Linked DNA regions of Tamandua tetradactyla. The protein of the gene in region 2 purifies or fractionates together with the protein of the main gene of each other region. This does not show direct contact. Links are inferred from orthologs where the notes say so. Each region holds a gene or a part of one and is shown on either strand. Other genes may lie near its edges. The genes, in order: CNOT10, RC3H1, LARP1 and CNOT2.

The links.
Region 1: the proteins of RC3H1 (region 2) and CNOT10 purify together in Homo sapiens (affinity purification with mass spectrometry, with the first as the bait; 3 studies listed by BioGRID). This does not show direct contact. The link is inferred for Tamandua tetradactyla from reciprocal best matches to the Homo sapiens genes RC3H1 and CNOT10.
Region 3: the proteins of RC3H1 (region 2) and LARP1 purify together in Homo sapiens (affinity purification with mass spectrometry, with the first as the bait; 3 studies listed by BioGRID). This does not show direct contact. The link is inferred for Tamandua tetradactyla from reciprocal best matches to the Homo sapiens genes RC3H1 and LARP1.
Region 4: the proteins of RC3H1 (region 2) and CNOT2 purify together in Homo sapiens (affinity purification with mass spectrometry, with the first as the bait; 3 studies listed by BioGRID). This does not show direct contact. The link is inferred for Tamandua tetradactyla from reciprocal best matches to the Homo sapiens genes RC3H1 and CNOT2.

The regions. Positions count from the first base shown.
Region 1 is NC_135341.1:55,329,613-55,336,954, forward strand, and holds the start of CNOT10 (CCR4-NOT transcription complex subunit 10), read right to left. Parts: upstream 3,002-7,342; 5' UTR 2,905-3,001; coding exon 2,715-2,904; intron 1-2,714. UniProt on the Homo sapiens protein: Component of the CCR4-NOT complex which is one of the major cellular mRNA deadenylases and is linked to various cellular processes including bulk mRNA degradation, miRNA-mediated repression, translational repression during translational initiation and general transcription regulation.
Region 2 is NC_135330.1:27,979,718-27,987,317, reverse strand, and holds the start of RC3H1 (roquin-1), read left to right. Parts: upstream 1-4,584; 5' UTR 4,585-4,586; coding exon 4,587-4,817; intron 4,818-7,600. UniProt on the Homo sapiens protein: Post-transcriptional repressor of mRNAs containing a conserved stem loop motif, called constitutive decay element (CDE), which is often located in the 3'-UTR, as in HMGXB3, ICOS, IER3, NFKBID, NFKBIZ, PPP1R10, TNF, TNFRSF4 and in many more mRNAs.
Region 3 is NC_135346.1:35,716,958-35,724,666, forward strand, and holds the start of LARP1 (la-related protein 1), read left to right. Parts: upstream 1-4,699; 5' UTR 4,700-4,897; coding exon 4,898-5,327; intron 5,328-7,709. UniProt on the Homo sapiens protein: RNA-binding protein that regulates the translation of specific target mRNA species downstream of the mTORC1 complex, in function of growth signals and nutrient availability.
Region 4 is NC_135333.1:138,798,870-138,806,840, reverse strand, and holds the start of CNOT2 (CCR4-NOT transcription complex subunit 2), read right to left. Parts: upstream 3,014-7,971; 5' UTR 2,289-3,013; coding exon 2,221-2,288; intron 1-2,220. UniProt on the Homo sapiens protein: Component of the CCR4-NOT complex which is one of the major cellular mRNA deadenylases and is linked to various cellular processes including bulk mRNA degradation, miRNA-mediated repression, translational repression during translational initiation and general transcription regulation.

The DNA.
Region 1 (7,342 bases), on a different chromosome or scaffold from region 2:
AAATATACAACTCAATGGTGTTAATTACATTCAATGTTGCACTATCATCATCTCCATCCACCACCTAAACTTTCCTGTCACCCAGACAGACATTCTATACCCTTTAAGCATTAACCCCCCATTCCCCAATCAACATACATTGGTTGACCTCTAATCTAATCTACTGGTAACCTCTAATTTCTGTCTCTAAAAGTTTGCATATTCAAATTATTTGACATAAGTAAAATCATACAACATTTGTTCTTTTGTGCCGGGCTTCTGTCACTCAATAGGTCTTCAAGGTTAACACTGTAGTAAAGATCAGAACTTCATCTCTTTTTATGGTTATATAATGTCCTACTGTATGTATTTTGTTTATCCTTTCATTGGTTGACGGGAACTTGGGTTGCTTCCATCTTTCTACATTTGTGAATAATGTCTCTATGAATATCAGTGTACAAATATCTGTTGTGAGTCCCTGCTTTCTATTTTTGGGGGTATATATCTAGAAGTGAGATTGTCAGGTCATTTTGTAGTTCTCTGTTTAACATTTTGAATTGCCTAACTGTTTTCCACAATAGTTGTACCATTTTACATTTCCACCAACAAGGTACAAGGGTTCCAATTTCTCTATATCTTCACTGACAATTGCTGTTTTCTACTAAAAAAAAAAAAAAAAATCCATCCCAGTGGGTGTGAAGCAGCATATCACTGCAGTTTTGATTTGCATTTCCCTAATGATTAATGATGTTGAGCATCTTTTCATGTGTTTATTGGCCATTTGCACATCTTCTTTGGAGAACTGTCTATTCATGTCCTTTGCTCATTTTTAAGTTGTATTGTCTTTGCTGTTGCTGTTGAGTTTTAAGAGTTCTTTATATATATTCTGGATATTAAACCCTTATTAGATATATGGTTTCTAAATATTTTCTCCCATTCTGTAGGTTGCCTTTTCACTTTCTTGATGATATCCTTTGATGCAAAGTTTTTAATTTTGATGTAATCCAATTTTTTTTTCTTTTGTTGCTTGTGCTGTTGGTATAAAAGTCTAAGAATCCAAACCACTGACTAAAACAATGTATTGAATGTTTGTTTAAATTATCATAACAAACATGGATTACTCTTTAAAGAATATCTGCTCAAAATTAATATAAATGAGTTTAGAAATTAGGCGAGTATTTATCTTCGGGTGGCTAGTGACCAAAAGATGCGTGCAGAGGGCTTCTGGGGTACTAGTAATGGTTTGGTTCTTAATTTGAGTGCTGATTACATGGGTGTGGTTGGTGTATGAGAATTCATCACACTGTATGTATGCTAATGGCATTTTTTCATAACTATTTATAAACCTGTATTCCAGAAGCATCTCAAAGAACCAACACTCTCAGCAAGTTAAGTTTGGGAAACACTTGCCTGGCACTTGTGAGAAGTCACTAAAGATTTCCAACTTCCTTTTCTAAAGAAGGCAACATGATATAATTAAGAGCACAAGCTTTGAAATCACATCTTTAGTCTAGTCTTTCATTGGCTATCTACCTGCCCTTTATTGGAAATGCTAAATAAACATTAATTCTCTCCCCCCTTTTCTTTTGCCAGAAATAAGGATTCTTGCAGTTATGTTTTTTAATGTACTGACTTCTGCACTTTAAACATACAAATTAACAAATTAATTTAAAGTGGCTTGATTATGGAACAGTTTTTTAGGCCCTATGAAACTCCTTGAAGATCAGAAACCCTTTTGAGAATCATCACTATACTAAATATATAACTTCTACTTAAGAGAACTTATCTAAGCCTTAAGATCTGCCCTACAAAAGGCTTTTTTTTAAATTAGAAATGTTTATTTCTGCTAATTAAAGTTAGCAGATAAATCAGTATTCCATTTCCATCTCAGCATAGTCAAATAAACACTAAGAATTCACTACTAAAGGGAAGGAGGAAAAACTGATAGTTTAACGAACAATTTAAAAAGACAATGTTGAACACTTTTTTTCTATTGAAAGCCAGTAACGAGTTTAATTGCACAACTACCAACTATCTACACACTAGTCCTTTGGCAAAACTTTCATGTGGACAATAAACTGTAAGAAACAATTACTTTAAAATCAGTAAAAATATGACACAGAGTTTCAGGATCTCAGAAAGCAAGATAATGATCTTAGGTTGAAAGCAAAATCCTCAGCTAAACATAAAATTATAATAAAGTGTTAACAATGAAAATTAATACTTTTTTGTTTCTTAAGATCTAAACAGGAAACTAATTAAAAAAATTTATCTTCCCTCATAAGAACTTGCATAATCAGTTTAAATCAAATGCCCAAAATTCTTAGTATGCCTTCAAGTTATCTCTACAGCTTCTTCCAAAATATGCCCATTGTCAGATAATGACATAAATAAAGGACAGAAGGAAATACCCAGTAATTCACCAAGAAGTTGAAGTATAGTGGCTCACGTAGGCACTGCTTTCATTATTCCCCTAGGAATTGTAAAAGTCTAATACTCTCTAGAAAAGAAAAGAACATACATTTCAGAGATCTGAGCTCAATAAAAAATCTTTTTACATATTCTCCAACTATGGTTTTACCTAAATTCTTTTACTGCAGGATGAAAATTTTGTTTTTTTAAAATAGACTTTAATGGGATTTCTATCTTTACTTTCCTTTTATCTTTCTGCACTTTTCAAGTTTTCTGCAAGGATTAGACATTATTTCTGTAATCAGTTTTTAAACTGTTCTTACCAGATAGAATCTGCACATAATTCCACAATATGTCTTTGTTTGTCCCACTGCCAACCGAAAGAGTAAAGGACTGTTCATCCATAAGCTTGACTTTTCTTCCTCTATGACCTAAAGAACATGGCTGACTTTCTCGGCGTACAGAGCTCTTTGATCCACAAACTCTGACACTCTTTAAGCCAACAGACTTCATTTCTAACCAAATAATTCCCTTTATGTTTTAACTAAGTAGAAGAGAAATGCACTCACTGCTTTTTGAAAACTGAAAGAAGCCAGTTAACTGAAAGCTTAACACATTCCAAAACAGAATGTTAACAATACATATCTGATTGGAACATGAGCTTCCCTCCAAGCTGTGCTTGTCAAAATACAGCTCCAATGATGTTTGAGTGAAAAAAAGTTCCCAAAGAAAAAAGAAATGTTAACGCCTAAGGAAATCTAATGCAGAAAACACTTACCAGGCCTTCGTGGACAAAAGTTTTAAATAACAAGGATGCCAAAACTAAATGTCAACAGGTGGGAGGATTGGGAAAGGGGTATGGATTCTTTGTGGAAGAAAAGGAAATGTCTTCTGATAGAGTATGGTGGTGAAGGCATATCTATTCACTTAGGTTGGATTGTATGATGTGTGAATAAAACTATTTAAAAATGAACAGAGAGAAACAAGTGCCAGAGAAAACGCAGAGAAAGAGATATACTTATTCACTATCGGTAGGGAATGAGAGGTGCAGCCGCTTGGAGGGCAGTGTGGTGGTTCTACAGGAGGCTAGGGGTAGGTTTGCCATATGATCCTCAAACTCCATTGCTTAATATATACCTGGAGGAACTGAGTGTGGGACACAAATGGACATGTGCACACTGGTGTTTCTGGCAGCACTGTTTGTGATCCATAATGAACAGAGGTGGCCTAAGGGAACAATGAATGAGGAATGGAAGGGGAAATTATGGTGTACACATACAATAGACTACTGAGTAGCAGCAAGAAGGAATGAAGTTGTGAGGCATGCAACTAGGTGAATGAACCTGAAGAGCTGTACGCTGAATGAAATTCAGGGACAAAAAGACAAATATTATCATGCCTCAATCTTATCAACTAACTATAATATAAAAATTCTGTGAACTAAAGTAGAAAGCCTGGGTTATCAGGTTGGAACTTACTGTACAAGGTCCTAGACTGTAAGCTGTTACAGCTGTCACATATATTCAGGAAGTGTAACTGTTAATTCTAAATTCTGAGATACTGAGCTGTTTGTATATAACACGGTCTTTCCCTGAAAGTTAGAGCTCTGAAGCTATTAAAGTCAGCAGTACCACCAACAAGAACTGTTTAAAAATTTGAAAAATTGATCAGACATCAAGTAGAGATACTAATGAAGCTGATCGGGATAGGACTAAGGTATATCAGAAGACTGGGTAAACGATGATATTGTCCATATTTTAAAACTTCAACTTCTGTGTGAGACTAAAGGGAGAGATATATTTGGGGTTGTTCATTCCCTAATTTTTTTTTTAATTTTGTAAAAAACATTTTTTTGCTTTAGTCTCACATATAAGGTGACATTTTAAAATATTAATTACCATGTATTTGCAGCACTGTGCAATAATGACATTCCTTTGTTCTTCCTCAAGCAAAAACATTTTAAAATTTGTACATTTCATCAATATTATTATACACTCTAGGCATTTCTAGATTATGCCATCTCAATCTTTAACATCTATCGTTCTTTCTGATTTCATTTATGTCCCCAGCCCTCCTCCCTCTATCATTCTCACATGCAGCTTCATTCAGTGTTTTAACATAATTGTATTACAGTTAGGTAGTATAGTGCCCTCAATTTCTGAGTTTTGTATTCAGTCCTGTGCACAGTCTGTATCCCTTCAGCTCCAATTACCCAATATCTTACCCTATTTCTATCTCCTGATGGTCTCTGTTACCAACGAAATATTCCAAGTTTATTCACTAATGTCAGTTCATATCAGTGAGACCATAAGTATTTGTCCTTTTGTTTTTGGCTAGTCTCACCAACATAATGTTCTCAAGGTCCATCCATGTCGTTACATACTTCACAACTTTATTCTGTCTTAAAGCTGTATAATATTCCATCGTATGTATATACCACACTTTGTTTAGCTACTCGTCTTTTTTTTTTTATTAATTAACGGAAAAAAAGAAATTAACCCAACATTTAGAAATCATACCATTCTACATATGCAATCAGTAATTCTTAACATCATCACATAGATGCATGATCATCGTTTCTTAATACATTTGCATCGGTTTAGAAGAACTAGCAACACAACAGAAAAAGATATAGAATGTTAATATAGAGAAAAAAATAAAATAATAATAGTAAAAAAAACAAAAAAACAAAAACCTATAGCTCAGATGCAGCTTCATTCAGTGTTTTAACATGATTACTTTACAATTAGGTATTATTGTGCTGTCCATTTTTGAGTTTTTGTATCTAGTACTGTTGCACACTCTGTATCCCTTCAGCTCCAATTACCCATTATCTTACCCTGTTTCTAACTCCTGCTGGTCGCTGTTACCAGTGACATATTCCAAGTTTATTCTCGTATGTCGGTTCACATAAGTGGGACCATACAGTATTTGTCCTTTAGTTTTTGGCTAGACTCACTCAGCATAATGTTCTCTAGGTCCATCCATGTTATTACATGCTTCATAAGTTTATCCTGTCTAAAAGCTGCATAATATTCCATCGTATGTATATACCACAGTTTGTTTAGCCACTCTTCTGTTGATGGACATTTTGGCTGTTTCCATCTCTTTGCAATTGTAAATAACGCTGCTATAAACATTGGTGTGCAAATGTCCGTTTGTGTCTTTGCCCTTAAGTCCTTTGAGTAGATACCTAGCAATGGTATTGCTGGGTCGTATGGCAATTCTATATTCAGCTTTTTGAGGAACCGCCAAACTGCCTTCCACAGTGGTTGCACCATTTGACATTCCCACCAACAGTGGATAAGTGTGCCTCTTTCTCCGCATCCTCTCCAGCACTTGTCATTTTCTGTTTTGTTGATAATGGCCATTCTGGTGGGTGTGAGATGATATCTCATTGTGGTTTTGATTTGCATTTCTCTAATGGTCAGGGACATTGAGCATCTCTTCATGTGCCTTTTGGCCATTTGTATTTCCTCTTCTGAGAGGTGTCTGTTCAAGTCTTTTTCCCATTTTGTAATTGGGTTGGCTGTCTTTTTGTTGTTGAGATGAACAATCTCTTTATAAATTCTGGATACTAGACCTTTATCTGATATGTCATTTCCAAATATTGTCTCCCATTGTGTAGGCTGTCTTTCTACTTTCTTGATGAAGTTCTTTGATGCACAAAAGTGTTTAATTTTGAGGAGCTCCCATTTATTTATTTCCTTCTTCAGTGCTCTTGCTTTAGGTTTAAGGTCCATAAAACCACCTCCAATTGTAAGTTTCATAAGATATCTCCCTACATTTTCCTCTAACTGTTTTATGGTATGGACCTAACATTTAGATCTTTGATCCATTTTGAGTTAACTTTTGTATAGGGTGTGAGATATGGGTCTTCTTTCATTCTTTTGCATATGGATATCCAGTTCTCTAGGAACCATTTATTGAAGAGACTGTTCTGTCCCAGGTGAGTTGGCTTGACTGCCTTATCAAAGATCAAATGTCCATAGATGAGAGGGTCTATATCTGAGCACTCTATTCGATTCCATTGGTCGATATATCTATCTTTATGCCAATACCATGCTGTTTTGACCACTGTGGCTTCATCATATGCCTTAAAGTCAGGCAGCGCGAGACCTCCAGCTTCGTTTTTTTTCCTCAAGATGTTTTTAGCAATTCTGGGCACCCTGCCCTTCCAGATAAATTTGCTTATTGGTTTCTCTATTTCTGAAAAATAAGTTGTTGGGATTTTGATTGGTATTGCATTGAATCTGTAAATCAATTTAGGTAGGATTGACATCTTAACTATATTTAGTCTTCCAATCCATGAACATGGTATGCCCTTCCATCTATTTAGGTCTTCTGTGATTTCTTTTAACAGTTTTTTGTAGTTTTCTTTATATAGGTTTTTTGTCTCTTTAGTTAAATTTATTCCTAGGTATTTTATTCTTTAGTTGCAATTGTAAATGGGATTCGTTTCTTGATTTCCCCCTCAGCTTGTTCATTACTAGTGTATACAAATGCTACAGGTTTTTGAATGTTGATCTTGTAACCTGCTACTTTGCTGTACTCATTTATTAGCTCTAGTGGTTTTGTTGTGGATTTTTCCGGGTTTTCGACGTATAGTATCATATCGTCTGCAAACAGTGATAGTTTTACTTCTTCCTTTCCAATTTTGATGCCTTGTATTTCTTTTTCTTGTCTAATTGCTTTGGCTAGAACCTCCAACACAATGTTGAATAATAGTGGTGATAGTGGACATCCTTGTCTTGTTCCTGATCTTAGGGGGAAAGTTTTCAATTTTTCCCCATTGAGGATGATATTAGCTGTGGGTTTTTCATATATTCCCTCTATCTCATCTGTTGATGGACATTTTGGCTGTTTCCATCTCTTTGCAACTGTAAATAATGCTGCGATAAACATTGGTGTGCAAACGTCCGTTTGTGTCTTTGCCCTTATGTCCTCTGAG
Region 2 (7,600 bases):
AACCCCATACAGCAACTGTTAAAAGAGCTGTAAAGGAGATATGAGTGAAGCTTTATGTATAATTATTTTGTAAATCCACGGCTTCTATAGTAAAAACAAACAAACCATGGATCCTTTTCCCAAAAGAATAAGCATGTGTATTTATTTAAACAAGGTTTCATATAATCTCTAAGGTTAATGGTTGCCTTGATCAATGCCAAAATTTTACTATAGTTTTGAAATGACAAGAATATTTTCAAAATCTTTTAGGGTTTCAGTGGTGGGTTTGTATAAGACAATCTGAGGAGAGGGAAAAAACAGTAAAACTTTAGGAGTCAGGAACTTGGCTTCAATCCCAACTATGCCATTAGCAACTTTGCACGACTTTGAGCAAAATTATTTTCCTTGTTTTTGCCTTTGTTCTCCACATCATATAAAATGGAATAGTTGAAAATGCTTGGGCTTTAGTATCAGGTAGATAATGAGTTTGTTCTGTTCTGTCTTGGCTACTTATTTATTAATTGTATGACCTTGAGCAAGTTTTTTGAATGTTATTTTGTTACTCTAAAAATAAGGAAAAAACCTTTGGGTTTTTAAGGATTAAACAAAACATGTTTCATAAAGTTTAGTAAGACTTGTTACTGGTAAAGATCAATGAATGTGAGTTATCTTGAAAAATTAGGGTAGAACTAGATGTTCTTTAAGACACCTTTTACTAATTAAATTTTATGATTCTATTTTAAACACTTTTTGTTACAACAGAATAATTTGGGAAGTTTTTTGTAATAGCATTGACTTAAAATCATGTGGGAAAGCAGTAAGATATTTTATGTCTCTAAGACTGATGTTGACTATATTTCCTGCTTGTTTTCCATATTCCATAGTGCTGGATGTAAAGTAAATACTCAGATACTTGTTGCTTAATTTTAAGATTTCATGAAAGAATACTGTAGGTTAGGATTTTTTAATCTGGAATTTATGAATACCCTAGGGGTCTAGGAATAGATTTTCATAGTTCTATCAACTCTTTGAAATGATATGCAATACTTATAAGCCTTCCCTGGCCATTTAAACTCTAAAACAACCTCCAAATCACTCTCAGTTTCATCACTCTATTTCAGTTCTCTTCAAAACATTTCCATTATCTATAAAATTATATTTTTCTTGCCCACATTTTGTTTACTCAGTGCCTAGTTTTGATAAGATAAGAATAGGCACCAAATCTGTCTTGTCCACCAAGAAACCTCACATCAATTTGGGAATTAAAAGTATTGCATATGATTCCAAAGAGTAGATAGAACTATGAAAATCTATTCCTAGACCCCTAGGGTATTCATAAACTCCAGATTAAAAAATCCTAACCTACAGTATTCTTTGGGTGAATCTGAATGATAAAAGGAGACTCTTCAATCCCAAGTGGGCAGGGACCTAAGATGAAAACAAGCTTCACCTGAGTAATTGGAAAGTAGTAGGTATGAAAGGAACAAGCATTAGAAGAAGGTGGAGAGATACAAATTTCAGGTTGTAACATTAAAGGCTTTGTAAACTAGAGTAAGAAATCTGGATTTTATTTTAAATATAATGGAATTTATTTCAGGGTGTTTAACTAGAGAATGCTGAGAAAAGGAGGTCCAAGACAGAACTTGTGACATCTCCAGCATTTAGAAGTATAAGAAATCAGAAATAAAGCCAGTAAAGTAAGTGGCTTTGGCACTTTCAAGAAGGAGGGAGGTGTTCATCTACTTTATATCTTACTGTACAGATAACTAAGATTAGACCAATGACCTGACCATTAGATTTGGCAAAAAGTTTGCCAATAACTATTGTGACATTGGTTTATATAAACGCTAGTACACAGATAACAGTAGTAACTACCTTTTATAGTTTTGCCCTGTGTAAGGCATTTAGCATATGTGGCATATAGCTCTATAAATAGTAAAACATATTAAGGCCATTCTAGTAAAAAGATGGGAACAGTTAGCTCTCCTTTGCAAAGAGTCGGATTCTTCAAAAACATTAATACAGACAGTCCTAATCTATAGAAAGTTTCCTGTGGCTTATTCTTTATTGACTTAATGAGCTTCAGCATGCATTTTCTGACTTAATATCCTTCTGTCATTCAGATAATTATTCTTCTAAAATACTTCTCAGTTCTTTATTTTGAAATATGCTACAATTCCAGACACAACTGTAGCATTTTACTATGCCAATTAAGTGATTAGATATTGTACTTTGTTAGCATTTCAGATGACAGTTTCAATATATTAAATAGAAATAATATAATATAATCCTGCTTGTACCTACTCATAATCTACGTTTAGATGCATTTTGTTATAAGTATTTATAATGCTTTTTTTATATTTCTTTATTTAAAAAAAACAGTATGGAACGCTTCACGAATTTGCGTGTCATCCTTGCGCAGGGGCCATGCTAATCTTCTCTGTATCGTTCCAATTTTAGTATATGTGCTGCCGAAGGGAGCACTTATAATGCTTTTTTATAGAAATAAAAATTTGGGCAATTTCTTAAACTTTCTTTTTATTGCAAAGGCTATCTGAACACATATGCAGATAACTTTAATTTTAGATCCAGAACCTGAAATTTTGGAACTGTTTACTAGGTTATTAAAAGTTTTTCCATTGTCCATTCATCTGATCACATGCTTTGCAAAAGCCTAAACAAAGCTGAGGCTTACTAGACTCTCAACTCCATGAAGGTAGATAACCGTGACTGTCATTTCACTGTATCCACCACAATTCACACAGTCTGGCACATTGTAGTACTTATTAAATATTTGTTGATAAATATTGTGGATGGCTAAAATGTTTTGCATACCTGAAGGAAACTGTTCTCTCATCAATATTTGACTTACATTCAAGTTTAAATTATTTCAATAAAACATGAATTAAATGTAATGTTTGAAGAACAAAACCTGAAGATGATTTACTTTTCTAGTTAATTACAGCTTGAATAAGATTTCATCTTTGTAAGCAGACTTTCCTGAGCGTATTCATATCATTAGTAATTTGTAATGCTGTAGTACTTTATTATCGCTCTGGGCATCATTTCTCATTTTTAAAGCGCTATAGTCATAGTAGGTTTAGTAGGCATTGTAAAGAAAATTTCTGATAGATACAAGTGATTTAGCTTTTATCCACCACTGAAAATGGAAGGTAGAAAAATGGAACCTTCTTGACCAAAGGGGGAAGATAAATGAAGCAAATTAAAGTTTCTGTGGCTGAGAGATTTCAAATAGAGTCAAGAGGTCATTCTAGAAGTTATTCTGACGTAGTATATAGATATCCCTTTTGAGTTTTTGTATTGGAGTAGCTAGAGGGAAATACCTGAAACTGTTGAACTGTAATCCAATATCTTTGATTCTTGAAGAGGATTGAGTAACTAAAGAGCTTTTAAGGTATGAACATGTGAGGGTGAAAACTTGTGACTGACATTCCCTTTATCCAGTGAATAGACAGATGAGTAAGAAACAAATGAAAAAGACGAATAAGTAAACAATAGGGAGGGTATGGGATGTTTTGGTGTTCTTTTTTACTTTTATTTTTATTCTTTATTGTTTTTGGAGTAATGAAAATGTTCCAAAAATTGATCATAATGATGAATGCACAGGTTTGTGATGATACTATGGAGCACTGATTATACACATTAGATGATCGTATCTCAATTAAAAAAATCATTGAAGAAAAAAATCTTAAGTGTTTACCAAAAAAAGAAAGAATAATAAAGTGAAATTTGATTATACATGGGTTCTAGATAATTGGATTCTAACCAATTATAATTATTCTACCATTTTTAAATTTGGGGGTTAAAAAATCTTTTGAAATAAATAATTTTAACTGTGTTCTAATAGCATATTTCAGCAACAGGTATAGGCTGTACCGGGGGCTTTTAAAAGAGGCATTGTTCAACCAGTTTGTAAACTCTTAAAAATACCTTTAGAAAGTCTCTTTTTATCTTATTACCCCCACCTAATTTGATAAATATTTTAGGGGAGTTTTTATGCTGGGCCAGTTTAAAAAGAGCAGCAACTCTTTATTGTAAGATACAAAAGGTGCACATAAATGTAGAGATTGATGAATTTCCACAGCTGAACACACCCATGTAATCAGTATCTAGACCAAGAAACAGAACATTATTAGACCCCTAGAAAAGACTAATTTTTAAATATTAAAAAAAAAAACACCGAAACTTCTATAAACTGAGCAAATTAGGTCCTGGATGACTTTATTACTAAGTATCACTTTAGGCAAGTTTTTTCATCTATTCTCGTGTCTAAAATGAGGGGATTAGACTCAAATTATTATGACTCTAATTCTGTGAAAGTGAAAAAGAATATATTATGATAGAAATACAGTATGTGAAGGTTATAGGGTAATATTGGACTTGTGATCTTTATCAAAAGTTTATTGAAAGAAAGGCATTCTCAGTTGTTTTTCTTTATTTTTCAGGTTATATTTCACACTATGTGCTGACTGTATCTACAGAAGATATTTAAAAAAAAAAGACAAACTTTTCAAAGATTTTGATTCCAGTGGAATCTTTGCTTTAGATCTTTTGGTGTATGTTAGTGAATTGTAACTCCAGAAGCAATGCCTGTACAAGCTCCACAATGGACGGATTTCCTTTCCTGCCCAATTTGCACTCAGACTTTCGACGAAACAATTCGAAAGCCTATCAGTTTGGGTTGTGGCCATACTGTCTGCAAGATGTGCCTGAATAAACTACACCGCAAGGCTTGCCCATTTGACCAGACCACTATCAATACAGACATTGAGCTCCTCCCAGTGAACTCGGCACTACTACAGCTGGTGGGTGCTCAGGTAAGATGGGTGTCATAACACTTTTTTAGTTCTGTGTGTGTGTGTGTGTGTGTTTCTCCTGAGAGAAATCTTTTGAATTGCAATTGGGTAAAATAATCTTCTGTTTAAGTAGATGTAAATAGATATAAATCCTTTATTTCCGTGATATTAGGAGCATATTTTGTTCAGTGTTTTTCATGATATACATTGTATCTGGTGATCAGACTTTTCAATAATCCTAACTATTCAGATCACTAGAGAAATCTAAGAGGTAGGTAGTAAGAATCACTTCTCTTTGAGAAACATGATTCACAAAATTACTGTACTTTACTCATTCAGAGAGGTGAAGTTGCTTCAAACATATTTACTTGATAGACACAGAAATGAAAGATAAGGAAGAGACAAAAAACAGTAAAACACAAATTTTGGGAACCGTTTATTTAACAGTTAAAAAAGAATATCCCTAAGTATCTAAATATAAAAGTCTAGTAATTCTGAAGGTAATAATTTGAATGCAGGTTTTTGAAAGCCAAATACACTTCACTTAGATAATCCTCACTACTAAATTTGAACAGTGTAATTATGAAGTCCCATATATTTTCCATAAATTATTTTCTGGATAAACAAGCTAGAACTTTGGATCTAGCCACACTGATCTTTCTAGAGTACTCTTCCCGTAAGCTTCTGAAAAGCTGGTGAAGTTGATATTGTATATGCTTGGAGGTAATGAGAATTGTTGGAGAATAGCTTATTCAGAGGGTTTTTTATTTACAAGCCTGTTTTGATGTTGTCATCAGTAATGCTACAAAAAATATTTATAAAATGGGAAAGTGTGATTGATTCTTAATATTTCTCCATCCATACTTAATTATTCATTTCATAAGCATTTTCTCATTTTTATTTGAAAATTTTTCCTGTATCACACTTCGGAAGTATTTGTTGGGGATAGCTGTTTTGGAAATGTAACATTCTTAATAACAATAAGGCTTACTTTCTTCCTTAAAGTTGTCTCAGAATGAACTGATTTTTTTTCCAAAATAAAAACTTTTCATAGCTTACTGAAATAGCTAATGTCAATGAAATTTGAGGATTAGAAATGTTAATGCCTGCATAGCCTCTATGCTGTACATTCCTTGCGATCAAAGATAATGTAATGTGATCAGTGTATCCCCAGACTCTTAACATGGTATTTAGAATGTAGCAAAAACTGAGTGTGGATGACTTCAAATATGTCTGATTTAGGAGTTGACCTCCATATGACTAAATCTAGAACGTCAATTCAACCAATTTTATCCAAATCTTCCAGTAGTGTGTAAAAGCCAGGTGGGGTAGGGGGCAAAATTTTCTCAGGAAAAGAAATTTTCTCAGTAGGAAAAGAATGAAACGTCATATTGCTAAACAGTACATGTAGTTACAGTGTTTATTTTAACAAATTGAATTTATATGTAATTTTTCTAGTAGGCCATCTTTTGAAAAGTCTCTTCTGAGGATTCATGGGTTAGGTTAGTAGGATGGGAAAATGTTTCACTTCATATTTGAAATATATTTAAAACCTTAGTTCATTTCTTTTTCTTTCTTTGTGTCCTTTTTTTTAATTGCACAAGCAGTATAAAGAAAATGAATATTCTCCTTCTGTTTCCAAATTAGCCAGTGTTACCACATTTATCTTTCCAGATAAATAAAATGTGTAGCTTCGTTTCTGTAGTACTTTGCTCATACTCTTTTTCCTTCAGCTTACTTTTTGTCCACTGAATTTATCCAGGAAGGCTTTCCATGTCAGCATTACCTTCTTTATTTGGCAGCAGCCTATTCCAAAGTATGAATTTGTTGTGGTTTAAGTAAATATTCCTCTTTTATTATATTTTGATTGTGAGTTTTCTTTTTCCTATTACAAGCAGTATTGCAGTGAGATTTCTTAATAAAAATTTTTTTTAAGATTAGTATCTAAAAATAAAATTTTGGGGTAAAAGAGTATACATATTTTAAATTGTAAAAGATATTGCAAATAGCCCTCATAAAAAGATGTTCCACTCTAAATAACCATCAATAACTTATGAGAGCCCATTGCCTGACATTAAATATTCATTTTTAAAAATGTCTTTCCCTCCACTATAATGAGTGAAAATGTCTTATTTTGCTTTTCTCTTTTATTTTTACTTTGTGTCATCACGTGTTTTCACATATATCTATTAGATGCTTGTCTTTTGTTATTGATTTGTTGTTCTTTATATTTCTAAATTTTATCTTTTTGGTTTTTTTATATCCCAGTTTGTTTATTTTGTTGTCTTCTATATTACTTGAAATCAACTTTTTCTCTTAGAGAACACATTTGAACATTGAGTTTTTTATAACCTTTTTTATTGTGAAATGTATATACAAAAAAGCAATAAATTTCAAAGTGCACTTTAACGAGCAGTTATAGAACAAATTTCAAATTTGGTATGGGATACAGTTCTACAATTCCAGGTTTTTCCTTCTAGCTGCTCCTAGACACTGGAGAGTAAAAAGAAATACCAATATAATGATTCGGTAGTCCTACTCATTTGTTAAATCTTATTCTCTCTTCTAACTCCTCCTTCTCCTTTGGTCCTTCCCTTAATCTTGAGAGATAGATAATTGGGTTGTGCCCATTTTAATTTTTTTTTTTTTTTTTTTGCATTGAAAGGGGTTATTGATAATATGGGATTGGGGCATGGAGCTGGCTCATGTTCTTGGAGAGACTGGCACCTTTGGGTTTCAGGACTTATCCATCTGAAGATTTTAGGTTTCTGAAAAGTAAACGTAGTGCTTGCAGCTTTTATAGG
Region 3 (7,709 bases), on a different chromosome or scaffold from region 2:
GATGAAAGATTATTAAAGTAGTACCATTAACTATATTAGGTGTATTTTTCCCCATATATCACCTTATTATCAACACTTTGTGTTAGTGTCCTACATTAGTTATAATTCATAAAATAATATTCTTATAATTGTACTATTAACTAGAGTCCATTATCTACAACAGGGTCCACTGTGTTACACAGTCATATGTTTTATCTTTTACTTTTATTGTAGTAACATAGATGACCTAAAGTTTCCCCTTTTAACCACACTGACATCTTTACTTCAGTGTTGTTAATTACACTCACTGTGATGTGCTATCATCACCACCATCCATTACCAAAACTTTACAATCAACCCAAATGAAATTTTGAACAAATTAAGTAAATCCCCATTCTGTACCCCAATCCATCCCCCAGTAACCTATATTCTAGATTTTAACTCTGAGTTTGCTTATATATAGTTAGTTTATATTAGTGAGACCATACAATATTTGTCCATTTGTGTCTGGCTTATTTTACTCAGCATAATGTCCTGAAGGTTCATCCTGTTGTCACATGCATCAGGACTTCATTCCTTTTTATGACTGGGTAATATTCCCTTGTATATAAAGACTACTTTCTGATTATCCATTCATCAGTTAATGGGCACTTGGGTTGCTTCCATCTTTTGGCAACTGTGAATAATGCCCTTATGAACATTGGTGTGCAAATGTGCTTGAGTCCCTACTTTCAATTTTTCTGGGTATATACCTAGTAGCACCGTTGCTGAATCCTGTGATGTATTTTAAGCTCTGGGCACAAGCTAGGCACCATCCATTATCAAAACCTTACAATCAACCCAAATAGAAATTTTGAACACCTTCTGCTTAAAGCAGATCTTGTTTGATCTCTTTTATCTGGCCCAAGGTCACATATTGCTTAATTATTTTAAATAACCCTCAGAGTTTACTTCTGGAGAGACAGGGTTCAACTTTTTTCATATCTTCCCCAGGCCTGAGTATTTAATAAGCTTCCCATAAACACTTGTGGATATGGCAATGGAGGGAAGGGAGGCAGGGGGAAGTGTGTGGTATGGTAGGTAACAGCAAGGCCTAAGAGGTTAGGTGAAAAAGGTTACCTTCTTTTATGATAGCAGCTCCAGGGCCTACCACAGTGCCTGGCACATAGTAGGAGCTCAGTAGATATTTGCGGAAAGAATTAAGGCCTATTTCATTGTGTTAGAGTGACAATTAAATGAGAAATGAACATTGAATATTTCTCATAGAACATAAATGTACTAATTGCTCAATAAAAGTAGCTGCTCTACTTCTTTGGGTAGTATTTATATCTAGAAATAAATATATGGATATAGAATGCCATCATGGGACAGGAATCAAACGATCAATTAACAACAAATTCCAATTCCATCATTTTATGAAGGAAAAACTACCAGATTTAGTATCATGTGACTTGGGTGTGAGACCTAGCTCTGCCATAAACTTGTTCCTTGGCTAAGGAACTTCACTTAACTTCAATTTCCTGCAAAACAGAGAATGAATATCATTAAGATTCCTTCTACTAGTTCTAACAGCCTCTAAATCTAAGATGTAGTCTCATGCAGGTCTCTTACTATCTCTGGTCCCAGTTTACCCACCTGTAAAATGGCACAGTCTCCCTTTACTTTCTACAAGCAGGGCCTGGTGGTGATGTTTGGATACTACTCTGACTGCTGGGTGACATGAACCCATTACTCGTCCACATAAACCTTGGTCCTCTCACAAGTTGTATGAGGGTACATTTCCCCTCTACCTCCAGTTACAGAAATACAGAAAAGAAGATCAACAATGATGATTTTGTCCTTTATTACAAAGTCTGAAGAGCATCAAATGTGAATAACTTTTTAAAGGAATATTTATCAATGAATAAAATTTAAAAAGTGCATTCCAGTGGCAATGCACAATAATTTACCCTCTGATTAAGGGTATATATGATGCAATTAAGAAGAATTCATTGAGATCCCTTTAATCATTATTTTCCTCGGTACCTCTTTTTGAAGTACTGGCCTTAATCTATATAATTTACACAGCACTTTCGTTAATGTTGTCTCACTTGTTTCCTCACAAAAGTCAAGAGGGTGATGCAAGTCAGACATTTTTTTATCCACATTTTTCCACCAAGAAAGGGTACCCAGGGAGGTATACAGCTGGCCAGTGCTGAGGCTGAGTTCTGGAAAAGCTGGGACCAGACATCAGATTGCCTAGGTATCCCCACCAGCACTTGCCTACAAGAGCCCCACTACCAGTCTTGTGTGGTGGGGCAGTTCCAAGAGTCTTTTCCAATACATTCTCCAGCAGATTACGCATTCTAATCCTTGTTTAGGAGGTGACTACCATTCCAGGCTGTCATGTCTTGAGTAGGTAGGATCAAGACAGCTGAACCACCCTCAGAATGCATAGGCTAGAACTTCACTAAGTGAAGAGTGGGGGCATCTGGTGCAGTGACACCCAGGGGTCTTGTTACACATACAGATTCTGGGTCCAAACCCAGACCATGCCTGATTCCAAAGACTTTGGAATCTATTTTCAGGAAAGTCTTATCACCCACACTAGAGTAGCCCATCTATTTTTAGTTAAATATTTTTATTGATACATCTTCATACACATACATTCCATTAAGTGGTATACAATCAATGGCTCACGATATCATCACATAGTCGTGTATTCATCATGATCATTTTTAGAACATTTGCATCATTCCAAAAAAAGAAAAAGGAAAAAGAAAAAACTAATACCTCCCATACCCCTTACCTCTCCGTTTCATTGACCACTAGTATTTCCATCTACCCGTTCATTTTACCCCTTATCACCTACTCTTTCTTATCCATATTTTTTTACTCATCTGTCCATATGCTGGATAAAAGGAGCTTTAGACACCAGGCTTTCACAATCACACAGTCACATTGTAAAAGTTATATCTTTATACAGTCGTCTTCAAGAATCAAGGCTACTGGAACACGGCTTAACAGTTTCAGGTACTTCCCTCCACCCACCCCAATATACCATCAACTAAAAAGAGGTATCTATATAATGCTTAAGAATGATCTCCAAGATAACCTCTCCACTGTGTTTGAAATTTCTCAGCCACAGAAACTATTTTGTCTCATTTCTCTCTTCCCTCTTTTGGTCAAGGAGGCTTTCTCAGTCCCATGATGCTGGGTCCGGTTCATCCCAGGAGTTCTCTTCCATGTTGCCAGGGATATTTACACCCCTGGAAGTCATGCCCCAGGTAGCGGGGGGAATAGCCCATCTATTTTAGCTATTACTGAGGTTGACTGTCTTCACAGATACTATATGAGAACTTTTTGTATCACTTAAGTTTGTTTACTGTCTCTTTCCCCACCTTAGAATGTAAGCTCCATGAGGGCAGGGACATTATTAACCTGATTGATTGCCAAACCCGTTTCCTGCTCTATGCAGGCTCCACAGTGGGATATCAGTAAATATTATGGAATTGAATGTGCACTAAAGTTTGAAACCACAGTCATAGACCAGTTCTTTGTTCTACAATGGAGAATCTAAGACCCACGTAGAGGTAAACGACTGTCAGAGTTGGTAAAGGAGGTGGTTCTGGCCAGGATAAAATCTCAGATCTCGGGGTCCCAATCAGGCGTTGGTTCAACTCTGCCCAAATCATTACTTTAAAAAAAAAAACAACCGAAATCCACTTGAAAGAAAAGACATTTCCTGCTCATAAAGAATCAGTTTTAGGGGGCCTAGCAGGGGTGGAGGCTGTTAGTATTCCGCTCCCACTTCCTAGGAGCCCGCTGCCCTCACGAGTTAAGGGCCACCTTCCGGGCCCCAAGTCGAACCCGTCCCAGGAGACGAGTCCAGGACTGGGTCCGTTGGGGAGGAGCCGAGCGCGCTCCGCGGAGCTGAGGGCGGCTCGCCCAAGGTCACCCAGGCAGGTCTGGAGAGACTAGGCTCGAAGGGCACCGGGAAGGAGGCCGCGTCTTCAGGCGGATGCGGACCCCTCTCCAGCTGATCCTGGAGGGCGGGGAGTGGTGGTGGTGGTGGTTGTGCCCTTAATGGCTCCTTCTCAGGATTCCGGCATCTAGTTTAGAGAGAGATCAGGCCCGGACGGCCGCGTGGCCCGTCCCCATGTGCTCCACCTGCGGCTGCTCTCACGCGCTGGCCCTTTAAGACACCTCCCCCTTTTTCACCCTCATGTTTCCTGCCCCCATACCGCCCTCCCTGCCGAATTGCATCAGGCACGTGCTCGCCCCCGTCCAGTCTGAGCACCCCCCGCCCCAAAGCCCGGGAGGTGCTCAGAGGAATCTGAGGCGAGGGGAGGGGCGAGGGGCGGGGCCGCGAAGCCGTGCGTGCGCGTTCCCGCTACCTCCGCCTGCCCGCCGCCAAGCGCCAGCCTCGGCGGGCGCGCCCCCGTAGCTCCATCCCCGCCCCTTGCCCGCCTCGTCTCGAGGCGCGCGCCCGCCCGCCGCCTGCCGCGGATCGCGTGGTCTGTTCGGCTCGCCGCGCCTCTCCCCCGTCCGTCCATATTGCTGCAGCCCCCGAGCCGGGAAGCCCGGGCCGCCCCGGGGGCGGGGGGGAGGGAGGGACAGGACGAGAAGCCTGCCGGGTTCGGGGTGGGGGCGCCTTACGAGGAACGGGCGGGGGGGGACGCGCGCCGAGGAGGCCTGGACCGCAGAGTGGGGGGCCCTCCTCCCCCCACCCCCCCCGCCCCGCCAGCAGGCCTCGGATCTACGGCGGCTGCATCCGACCCGGAGGGTGCCGGCACCTAGCGTGAGCCCCGACACTTCTCTGCAGGGACTGGGGCCCAGCGTCCCGAAGAAAGGCGTCGCGGGCGCTCTGCGAGCCAAGTTCGAGGCGGGGGAGGCGGCCTCGGGCGCGCCCGGCTTCTCCGGGGGGGCGGGCGCGCAGATGGCCACTCAGGTGGAGCCGCTGCTGCCGGGGGGAGCCCCGCTCTTGCAGGCCGAAGAGCACGGGGGGCTGGTGAGGAAGAAGCCGCCGCCGCAGCAGCCCGAGGGCAAGGGCGAGCCCGGGGTGAACGACGTCGGAGGGGGGGAGTCGGACGGCGGAGCCCGGAGACCCCGGCCGCCCTGCGCCAAGCCGCACAAGGAGGGCACTGGGCAGCAGGAGCGCGAGAGCCCGCGACCGCCTCAGCCGCCCGGCGCCGAGGGTCCGGCCGTCAGCGACGGGGAGGAGGGCGGCGGCGAGCTGGGCGCTAGCGGAGGAGCGGGCGGCGGCGGGCGCCGAGACTTCGTGGAGGCCCCTCCGCCCAAGGTGAACCCGTGGACTAAGAACGCGTTGCCGCCAGCCCTGGCCACCGTGAACGGACAGTCCCCGCCAGGTGGGTCTCCCTGTCTGTTATCCTGGGTCCGGGTGGCCTCTTCCGGGGATATGGGCGTCCCCTCCCCCAGCGGCCTTCAGGGCCCCGGGGTCCGCCGCGGATCGTGGTGACTCGGTGATTTTTAAAAATTGCCTCCTGGCCCGTTCGGGTGGCCGTGCCCTTCCCCCACCACGCACTGGGGAACCTACCCTGCCAGAGGGCTCGGCCTCCGGGAAGCCACGGCCACCGCCTGGGCGGCAGCGGTTAGTGGGCAACGGCGTGGTCCAGGCCTACTGCGCCGGGAGAGGGTGGGCGCTGGTTTCGGTGAACAGGGCTCTCTGCTCCACCGCGTGTTGGTGTAAGAGACCGTTTCTAGTTTAAATCTCCCCTTCCTCGAGAAGCCCCTCATCCTTCCACCTCACCCTCCCCGTTTTGGTAGCGTTGCAACAGTCCCCATGTTGTAAATGTTTAATGAGTCCATGTCATGAGCAGCAAAGCGCCTGGCGATGAGTTCATACCAACCACAAGGTCTCGGGATTTAAAAGTTAACAAATATTGCTCTCGAGTAGATGATATTAGGCTGTCGAATCGCCATCTGGAGACGGGTTAAGGGGTCAGCTACAGGGAGAATGGGGAGAGGAGGAAACCCAACGTGTCATTGAATTCGGTGATTTCTCTCCCGGATCTCTGGGGTCTTCCGTCTTGAGAGGGAACCCGACGGCAACTGGGGGTCGGGGGGATTCTGTTAGGGGGTTGGCGGAAAATGTGAGGCGAGTGAGGGGGCATGTGGAGACACGAGGGGTGTGTGGCGGCGGGGGAGGGAGTGGCCGGGCTGGGCGGGCGGTGACAGTTGGGCCTCTGCGTTGGGCGCCCGGCGCGGAGCTCGGGATGAAAGCTGGTGCGGACGGCTGGCGCACCGCGGCCCTTAGTGTGCGTGTGCGCGAGTGTGATTGCGCGTCCCCCATTCCCGGCATTCCTCCGCAGCTGGGACAACGTGGGGCCTCCCCGCGCGGGGAGCTGCATGTGACCACAGACCTGCGCTCCCTCAGCCATCCTTACCTCCCCATCCCTTTTTTTTTGTTTTGTTTTGTTGTGCTTTGGACCCGGTCCTTTAAAGGGGGGCGGGATTTACAGGAAATCCCAGCAGGGCCGTGTCAGGGTAGGGAGAGAACAAGAGCAGTGCAGAATATGGAGTCTTTTCTTGGTCTCCGTTTGCCCGGAATTGGTCTTCCACTTGGAGGGGGTACTCTTACCCCTTCGGGTGCGTGAGGTCACGGTGGATCTCTCATTGGTTTTGGATCCTCTGACGTGGGCCAGTGTTAAAACCCCGCTTTTAGTTAGAATGTTGGCTTGTAGCCATAGGCCTAGTGCTTTTTCAGAACTACCCTTCTGCAGTCCCTGGTTGAGGCTGACTGGTCTAAAACCATCAAAATGGGAATGTGGAAGGGGGAGAGTTTAATGCTTTCACGTTAAAGGGAGTAAAATCACATTCTTAGTCCTAAGGAAACCACAATAGCTAATACTGAAAACGGCATGTTGCGATTTTTATTTCTTTTAAGGTTGCTTCCTTTGGCGGAGGGGACTTTTTACTAATAGTGCCTCAGACCGTGTTCTCTTCCTGCTGCCCCCCACTTCTCCCCTTTCCATTCGAGAACCCTCTTATGCAAAGAGCAGTGCTGAAACCTCCATTTTCTTGCAAATACCTCCCTGATCCACCCACAAAGGGAGGGAAAGCAACTTTAAAACACACTTTGGTCCTTCCCTCTCTTTAAACTCAAAGGGGTATAATCATCCCCAGGAGAGAACACTCCTCAGAAGTTTAAATGGGGCTTCTTACCCTGGCTACTGCAGCTTAGCTAATAGTGAACCTGCCTTGTGGGTTTTAAATCAGCCATGACATCAGGTGGTATTGGGTGCCTGAGTTGGCATTTTGTGCAAGTCCAGGGGCCCTTCATAGGGTGCGTCACTGGGTTATTGATCGTGGGAAGAAGACAGCTTGGCTGGCATGTCTCCTTGCTCTCTGAACGGAGAAGTAGACTTGTCTTAAGTACTTAAAGCAAAAATCTGAGTGAAAGGAAATTTGCCCTGTTACTGTCTTTCTGGAAGCTTAAGGGTAGAGGGTGTCAACTCATTAATTTGAACGTTTGGAGTAGTCTTTGATAGATAACTCAGAATAAATCCAGTAACTTCTTTGTTTTGGCCTGTTAAGGCCTAGATGCTTTTTGAGTGCAAAGTCTTGGAATTGGATAGTCTGTCTGCTGGTTAGGTGGTCGCCCTTTCTCTAGAGTGTCTGGTGCTTTAAGGCTCTTTTCTAACCCTGATTTTATTTGCAGCCTGGACAAGTTTAAATGTGACACCTGTGGAGTGGCTGTGTGGTCTTGTGAATTTTTGTTTTTTGCGGTG
Region 4 (7,971 bases), on a different chromosome or scaffold from region 2:
CTAAATCCAGGTCATCCCTAATAAAATAGACAATAGTATATAAATCAACAAGCTATATCAGTATAGCATGTTTGTGATAAGAGATGAGTTTTTCCAAGAGAAATACAAGGATTTTATTAGAAAAACTAATACAAGAAACAGAAAACATATATTTATATTGAGGAAAGTTTCAGTAAACAAAACCAAGGTATAAATTCAAAAATAATTTTTGAAATGTAAAACCTTAATTTCATTGTTTTTGCAGTACTTTTCCTTTTAATAAACATCAACTTAGTAGAGCTCTTTCCAAAATATCATAATGAATTCAATTCCTATAAGTACCACAGGTAGAAATCATCCCTAGTAAGAACAATCACCTGTATTATCAATCTGAATGACTACAATCATACCACTAGGTAGGCCCCTTGATGTGCAATTATTAATATTGTATATAATTCTATTCAAATATTACAGTGCAACTCAGATTGACTCTGCCTCTAAAACTTCCCTACCTAGTATTTCGGTTTCTTTGTGTTACAAAATCCACTAGAGTTTCAGGTAACAAATAAAATCATAAATATTCAGTAGTATCTTTCTTCTAAGGAAGACTGTATCAATGTTTGCATAAGTTGTCTTCAAATGCCTATTCAGGCAGGCACATGTGATAAAATTTGCTTTTAAATATATGATCATAACTAAGTTTTCTACAGTTAAATATTTTTTAAGACATTAAAAAATACTATTATCATTTAACACTGCTTTTCAAAGAACAAAAAAATTATAAACTAAGTTTCTACTAATCTATTAATATCTATTCATTATTTCATATATACAACGGAAACGTTTTAAAATTTTTCTGTATTATCAGAAAATCTTAAGCAAATTTGTCACTAAAAAGGGCAAAACTAACTTCCCACAGCATCTGAAAAATGTTACAATTGTTTTTCAAAATACAATTACTTGGAATGTCAATGTCTACTGAAGAGAGAAAAAACAAAACAAATGGATCAGAAGCATTTCTAATGAAATGTCACCATAAATCTTAAGTATTGATTTACTTTTGAACAAAGAGAATTTCCAGGTTATAACTACTAAAGCATCTCTGAAAAATGAAAAGAGTAAATCAAACATCTAAAGTTATAAAGTATTAAAACAAGTTTCTCATTCTTTTAGGTAAGCATGTCATTCTGAGTCTTATTTTAGCTTCAAGATTAGGTACTCAAACAGAGAGGGATACAGTTACTCACACTTATACATTAGGCCTTCATTTTTCCGTCATATTAATTTAATTTGCAACGGAAGTGTTATAGAAATTGAAAATTAAAAAAAAGTTTCATTCTTTGGTTAGTTAAATATACAGGCAACTCTCATTCCCTAACAGTATCAGATTAGGCCACAGAAATCTCTACTATATACTTACTGAACAAAATCTGCCAACAAATGGTTTTTTAATTAACTTACTTATGTTGATGCAGGATTATTTAGGATGCAAAAAATGTAAAATACAGTTTCTCACTTCCTGTCAAAATAGCAAAGCAGTCACAGAAATCACTAAAATGAAAGACTCTCAGGAAAAAAATGTGGGGAGACCACCTTTTTAAAATTAACTGAGCATATCACAAAGTCAAGTAAAAAATGGATGGAGTGTAAGGAATTTTGTCTTTTTAAAGCATTTTACTTTCCTTTTCCTTTAGCATTTAATATTACAAAAGAACTGCAAACTTCAGAGGAATTCAACCTACAAAGTTTACTAATGATTAAGAAACATTGCAAATGAAAGAGATGTGAATGTAGATTTTGAAACGTTAACTACTTCAGTGCGGTGATTCTCAATCAGTCCTTTATATATCTGGGAAAAGCCACTTTCCAAAATTGCAAAAGAAGTGTTGTAGAATATACCAAGTATTCCCAAACAACGCAACAAAAAATTGATATGTAAGTAGATAACTTTCAAATTTCTATCTCGCCCGCCCACCTCATACTTTATTATTCCCGCTTATGTTGCGTCAAAGGCAAATTATGAGTTGCACTTGTGATTAGAGCGCTAGAAATTGCTAATATTAAACATTACAGGAAATACGTTCAACTCTGAAATCCAAATTCAAGTCTGGCCTCCCTCATGAACAGCTTTTGTAAGCTCAGTACTTCCTACCATTAGCCAAAAATCTTAAGGCTTGATATCAGGGTATCGAATTATTAGGAATCGTTCAGATGATTACGAATGGAGTAGGATCAACTGACCAAGATATGAAAATGAAACAGAATGTGTTTGCACCGCGTCTTCTGGATGTTAAAAAGTGAAGCTGCATCCTAGGATTCGAAATTGATGTTTAGGTTCCTTCCGAGAGTGGTACCCGTATGTAACACTGTTATGGTAAGAACACCGTACCCACAGTTCTGAAATAAATACAAATTCTAAAATCTAGAAAACGCTTTCGTTAAAGAAAAATTATAATTCGCATTCGCTATGGACCATAGTTAGCAAGAATTAGAGGCTATCTCCTAGACGGACCACAGAGATCAAGTAAGAACTACGAGGGCCTCTGCTAGCCCACTCATTTCTTCCGTGAAACTTTTAAGTTAGAGCCAAAGCAGCAAGAGGTAAAGAGGCTCCGGCGGAAGTGAAAACCTAAGGCTAGCAACTTCACAGACAGAAGCGTCTCGGGTTCCTCCGCCGCCCAAGGACCAATCGGACTCAGTTCCTACACCACCACCGAAGATTCACCCTCCGGGTGCGGTGGGAGAAGCAGCATCACAGTTGCACTCCCCCTCCACCAACTATAGCCTTCGGTATCCCAAGGTCTGGAGACGCCTGAGGCCCGTTAGCCAATCCAGTGCCCCCCACCTTACACCAAACACACACACATATAGAAACACACACAAGTTGCGGGTGATATGCATGTAGCGAGATAATGTGAGGATCCGGAGACCGCAGCAGCTACTAGGAAGGTGGTAGCGCTGTTTAAAATGGGCCCGGGGTCCTCAGCCGCCGTCTGTTCTTCCCCAGGAAGCAGCGCGGCGGCGGCGGGAGCCTGGGGAAGCCAAATCTAGGGGAAGCCCCGCCATCCGCGGGCGGGACCCAGCCTTCAGCTCCCAAGCTGCCGCTGCAGCGGCCCAAGCAGAGCGACGCTTTACGTCCCATCCACCCCCCCACCATACACACCCCCTCCCTCCCTCCACCACCGCCACCCCCCCTCCCCGCCCGCTCCGCTCTCCCTCTCGATTGGAGCCGAGACAAAAGCAAAGGGAAGCTGCAGGCCGGGACGCTGCCCGCGGACCCCGGGCGCGACCGGACCGGCCCCGAGGCATTCCCCCGCCTTGCGAGGGCCCCGAATCCGCCGTCCCCGCCGCGTGCCCCGCTGCCAGACTTCCGAAAATTTGCCAAAAACTCACCGCATGAATTTTCTTGTCCCGCGGATCCAAGATGGCGACGTATCCACCGCAGAGGCTGCTGGGAGCAAGACCTTTACCCTCTGACCCCCGCCGTGACCCCCGTGCTCCGGCTTCCCTCAAAGCGGCGGCGGCGGCGGCTGGAGGTGGGAGCTACGTTTGCCGAATGGATCGGGTTTAGGCGGTGGGCAGACAGCTTCCCGTAGGCATGAGAGGGTTTGAGAAAAGGCTCTTCATTTCTCCACCGCTCTCTCTGTGGCCTCCGCTGTTTCTGTCCCCACACACTGGGTAGCTTGTCACTCGTCCGCGGCGGTTACGACGAGCGGGAGCCACTGCGGCCACTACTGTCCCCCTAGGGCCTGGTTGCTTCGGACTGGGCCGTGGTCCTTGGTTCGAGGAATGGTGAGGTGGCGTCAGTCAGCCCTCTCTGGGGATGCGGAGCGTGTTTGTGTTTGGGTAGGATTCCTCGTTCTCCCACGTCCACCTTGAGTGGTGCCCTTCCTGTCTCCCGTCACCTGAAGCAAACCTGATCGCTGTCCACATGTCCTTCCTCAGCCCCCGCAGCCTCCGGTGCTTTTGCACGCACTTCCAGGCACCGGCAGCACGTCACCGTCACCTCCTGAGAAGTGAGTTCCACTTTGCCGAAACCATTGCTATTTTCTACTCACTGCCCTTCCTTTATTTTTATTTTTATTTTTTTCTAAATCTAGGGGGAGGAGTTTGGGCGGGAGCAGTTTTTTGTTTGTTTGCTTGTTTTAAAGCACTGTTTTGTGAGTTTGCGCTAGCTGAGCTTGGTATTTACTGCTTCTCTAGCCCCCACTTCCCATGTAAACTTGAGTGATTGGCCGGGCCATCAGCAAGGCATTTGAAATTATAGTGGCTTTGGTGAGAACTGCAGGGGATTAGTCTGCTTTCCAGAAAAATAATCGTAGCTCAAAGTGAGCTTTCTTTGCAATAGTAAATCTTCTCTCTTTATTCCTTTATAATCCAATTTAAAATTTGTCATTGAACAGTAAAGGATTCTCTGTCAGTAAAAAATAACAAGAAAAATAAGCTTACTATAAAATAAAGGTAATTGTCATGCTTTGAAGTGCAAGGTATTTTGATTTTTCAGTAGATACTGTATGAATTTATTTAACCTCCAAATGATGCTGTTGTAGCCAGAGAGTGTTTTGCCCAGTTAGTCTTTCCTTTCATTAAATATTCTGCTTCGTTGTGCTTTTTGCTTCAGGAATATTCAGAGAGGAGCAACACACATTTCTTTATGTTCTTACTTTCCTCCCGTTTTCCCCAGCAGTTCCTTCCGGCCTCTTCTGGTTTCTCTTCCTCTGATGTTGGCCTCTACCACGGTAAGCTGACTGGATATGCCTCCATATCAAGTATGTATATGTATATGATAGTACTCAGCATTACTGAGCCTTCTAATCTCGCTATTAACAATTTGAAAGTATAACTATTAGTAATTTGGAATCATAAGATAGATGATGAAAATTGGGCGCATGCTTCTAACCATATAGTAAACACCGAGTATTGTTTGCTATGTTAAGCTATTAATTTGTTTTACATATAGAACTCTGTTAAGGCCAAATGGTGTACCTTGTTCTCACTGTTCCTATATTTACTTAGAAGAGCACAAGTCTTAAATAGTATAAACGTTAGTAAAATTGGAGAAATCATTTCCAAACAGGACAGGTCTGATTTGAGGATTTTGTTACCTTGGGTTGTTTACTGGAAGAGGTAAATGGAACAGCAAACATTTTCATGAATTTAAGTATCTAGGTTAGGACTGTTAGGAGAAAATACACTGATACTATTGCTTACTTAATACTGTTTATTTAGGATGACTTCACTTTTAGCCTTGGTGAAGAAGAGTTTTTTAATTGTCCTATTGCTTGTGTCCGATTGATTACAAATTTGTAAAATGTCTTTAATGCATACCTTAGAGGGTGATTCTAAGTATTAAATGTGTCAACATTTGTTAAGGGCTTAGTATATTTATGGTTTGCTAGTAAGCAGTCAGTAAATGGTACATATAAAAAATTGTCCTTCTGCGTTAACAAGTTTATTGCTAATATTTAACAAATTTGCCCTTCTGTTCTCTTTAATAGATTTTTCTTGTACTTGAAAAATAGTCTGTACTTATAGATATGTATTTTGTATATTTTCAAAATACATGTAAGGTAGATTCCTCTACATTTTATAGGAAAACTACTGATGTAGGCTGAGGGAAAAAAATACCTTATCTACTGTGCTGGTTTGAAAGGGTGTATGTATATCCCATTTCATAAAGGTAGAATAATCCCTATTCAATACTGTATGTTTGAAACTAATCAGATTATCTCCTTAGAGATGTAGTTTAATCAAGAGTGGTTGTTAAGCTGAATTAGATGATGACATGTTTCCACCCATTTGGGTGGGTCTTGAGAAGTTTCTGGAGTCCTATAAAAGAGAAAACATTTTGGAGAATGAAGAGGATTTGGAGAGAGCAGAAGATGCTGCAGCACTACGAAGTAGAGAATCCATGAGCCAACGACCTTTGGAGATGGAGAAGGAAAACGCCTCCTGGGGAGCTTCATGAACCTGGAAGCCAGGAGAGAAAGCTAGCAGATGACACCATGTTTGCCATGTGCCCTTCCAGCTGAGAGAGAAACCCTGACTGTGTTCGCCATGTGCCTTCTCGCTTGAGAGAGAAACCCTGAACTTCATCAGCCTTCTTGAGTCAAGGTATCTTGTCCTGGATACCTTAGATTGGACATTTCTATAGATTTGTTTTAATTGGGACATCTCTTTGGCCTTAGAATTATAAACTTGCAGCTTATTAAATTCCCCTTCTTAAAAGCCATTCTGTTTCTTTCATATTGCATCCCAGCAGCTAGCAAACTAGAACATGTACCTTATATAACTATTGTAGAAAAGAGTCTTCCATATTTTAAAAGGGGTGGACCAATACTGAAAATTTCACTATAACAAGGGATAGAAAGAACAGATATCTCAATTTAATATGTCTAAAACAGAACATTTGGGTGGGCCACAGTGGCTCAGCAGGTAGAGTTCTCACCTGCCATGCCGGAAAACCAGTTCGTTTCCTGGTGCCTGCTCATGCAAAAAAAAACGGGAACATTTGACTTCCTCTTGTTTATTCCCTAAACCTTTTTCTCACCTGGTCTTTCCCATTTCCATAAAACACTCTAGTGTAAAACTAGGAATCTTCTGTGATTCCTCTTGTCCCTCACATTCAAACTCTGACCTCATCAGCCAGTATCAGCTCTTAATTACAAATATATTCTGAATTTAGCTACTTTTCTTCACCTCCAATCCCATCATCCTGTCTGAGCCACTGTCATTTCTTGCTGGACCACTGCAATATCCACACTATCTCTTTGCTTCCACTTTGCCCCTAATTCCTTCAAATCATTCTCTACATAGCCAGAGTAATCAGTTTCATTAGGTTATGTCACTCTTTTCATTAGAACCCTTCAGTGGCTTTCCTGTGCACATAGAATAAAATCCAAATTCTTTACCATGGCCCTCAAGTCTGCATGATATGGCTTCTACCTACCACTCCAACTTCATCTTGTTCTCCTGCCTTTCCATTGCCTCCTTTTTATTTCTGTCTGGTACTAAGCACTTTCCAATCTGTAGCAGAGACTTTTAGTTCCCTGAAATTGCTCCATTTGTTTCATGGTAATGGATATAGTCCAGAATGAAGACTGTATTTCCATCTTTCCTTGTAGCCATGAGATGGTTCTGGCCAATGGAATATAAGCAGAAGTGTCATGTAGCACCCTTTCAAAACCATCCTTAAAAATATATCCGGTGCACACCTTTAGCCCTTGTTTTCTTTTCCTCTTCGTATATTTTGCACCCTGAAATGAAGATGTGATTGCCTGTAATTCTAGTTTCCATGTATGGCCATATGCAAATTCATCCATCCTAGGGATGGTAGTACCTTAAACTGGTAGACCTGGAACCTTGAGGACTTTGTGCATCAGAGCACTATACTAGCTCTGCACACCTTACATCCAGATTTTGATGTGAAAAAAATAAACTTCTATTAAAGCCAGGTTTTTAGTTTCCTGGCTGCTAAAGCAAAAAACGTGCAATGGGTTTGCTTAAACAATGGATATTTATTGCTTGTATTTTTAAGAATAAAAGTCTTGATTTTGAAGTCATCAAGGCAGTGCTTTCTCCCAGAAGACTGGGCATTCTGGGGCTGGCTGCTGGCAATCCTTAGTCCTTAGCTTTTCTGTCACTAGGCACTGCACCTGGCGTTTTCTCCTGGTTTCTTCTCTGTTTGGCCACTCCCTGTGACTTTCTCTCTGTGATCTTCCCTATAAGGCCCTCAGTAACAGGATTAAGACCCATCCTGATTCAGTTGAACCACCCCTTAACTCATCAAAAGGTACTTTTTACAAGGGTTCACACCTACAAGAATAGGTTAAGTTTAAGAATATAGTTTTCTGGAGTACATAACACCAAGCCACCATAGCCAGGTTTTTGGGTCTCTTGTCTTCAGTGGAACCTAATCTTAACCACTGTTTCAGGGCTTTTGCTTGTGCAATTTTTTTTTCTACCTGCCATTTGCTTCTCTGTTTTTATATG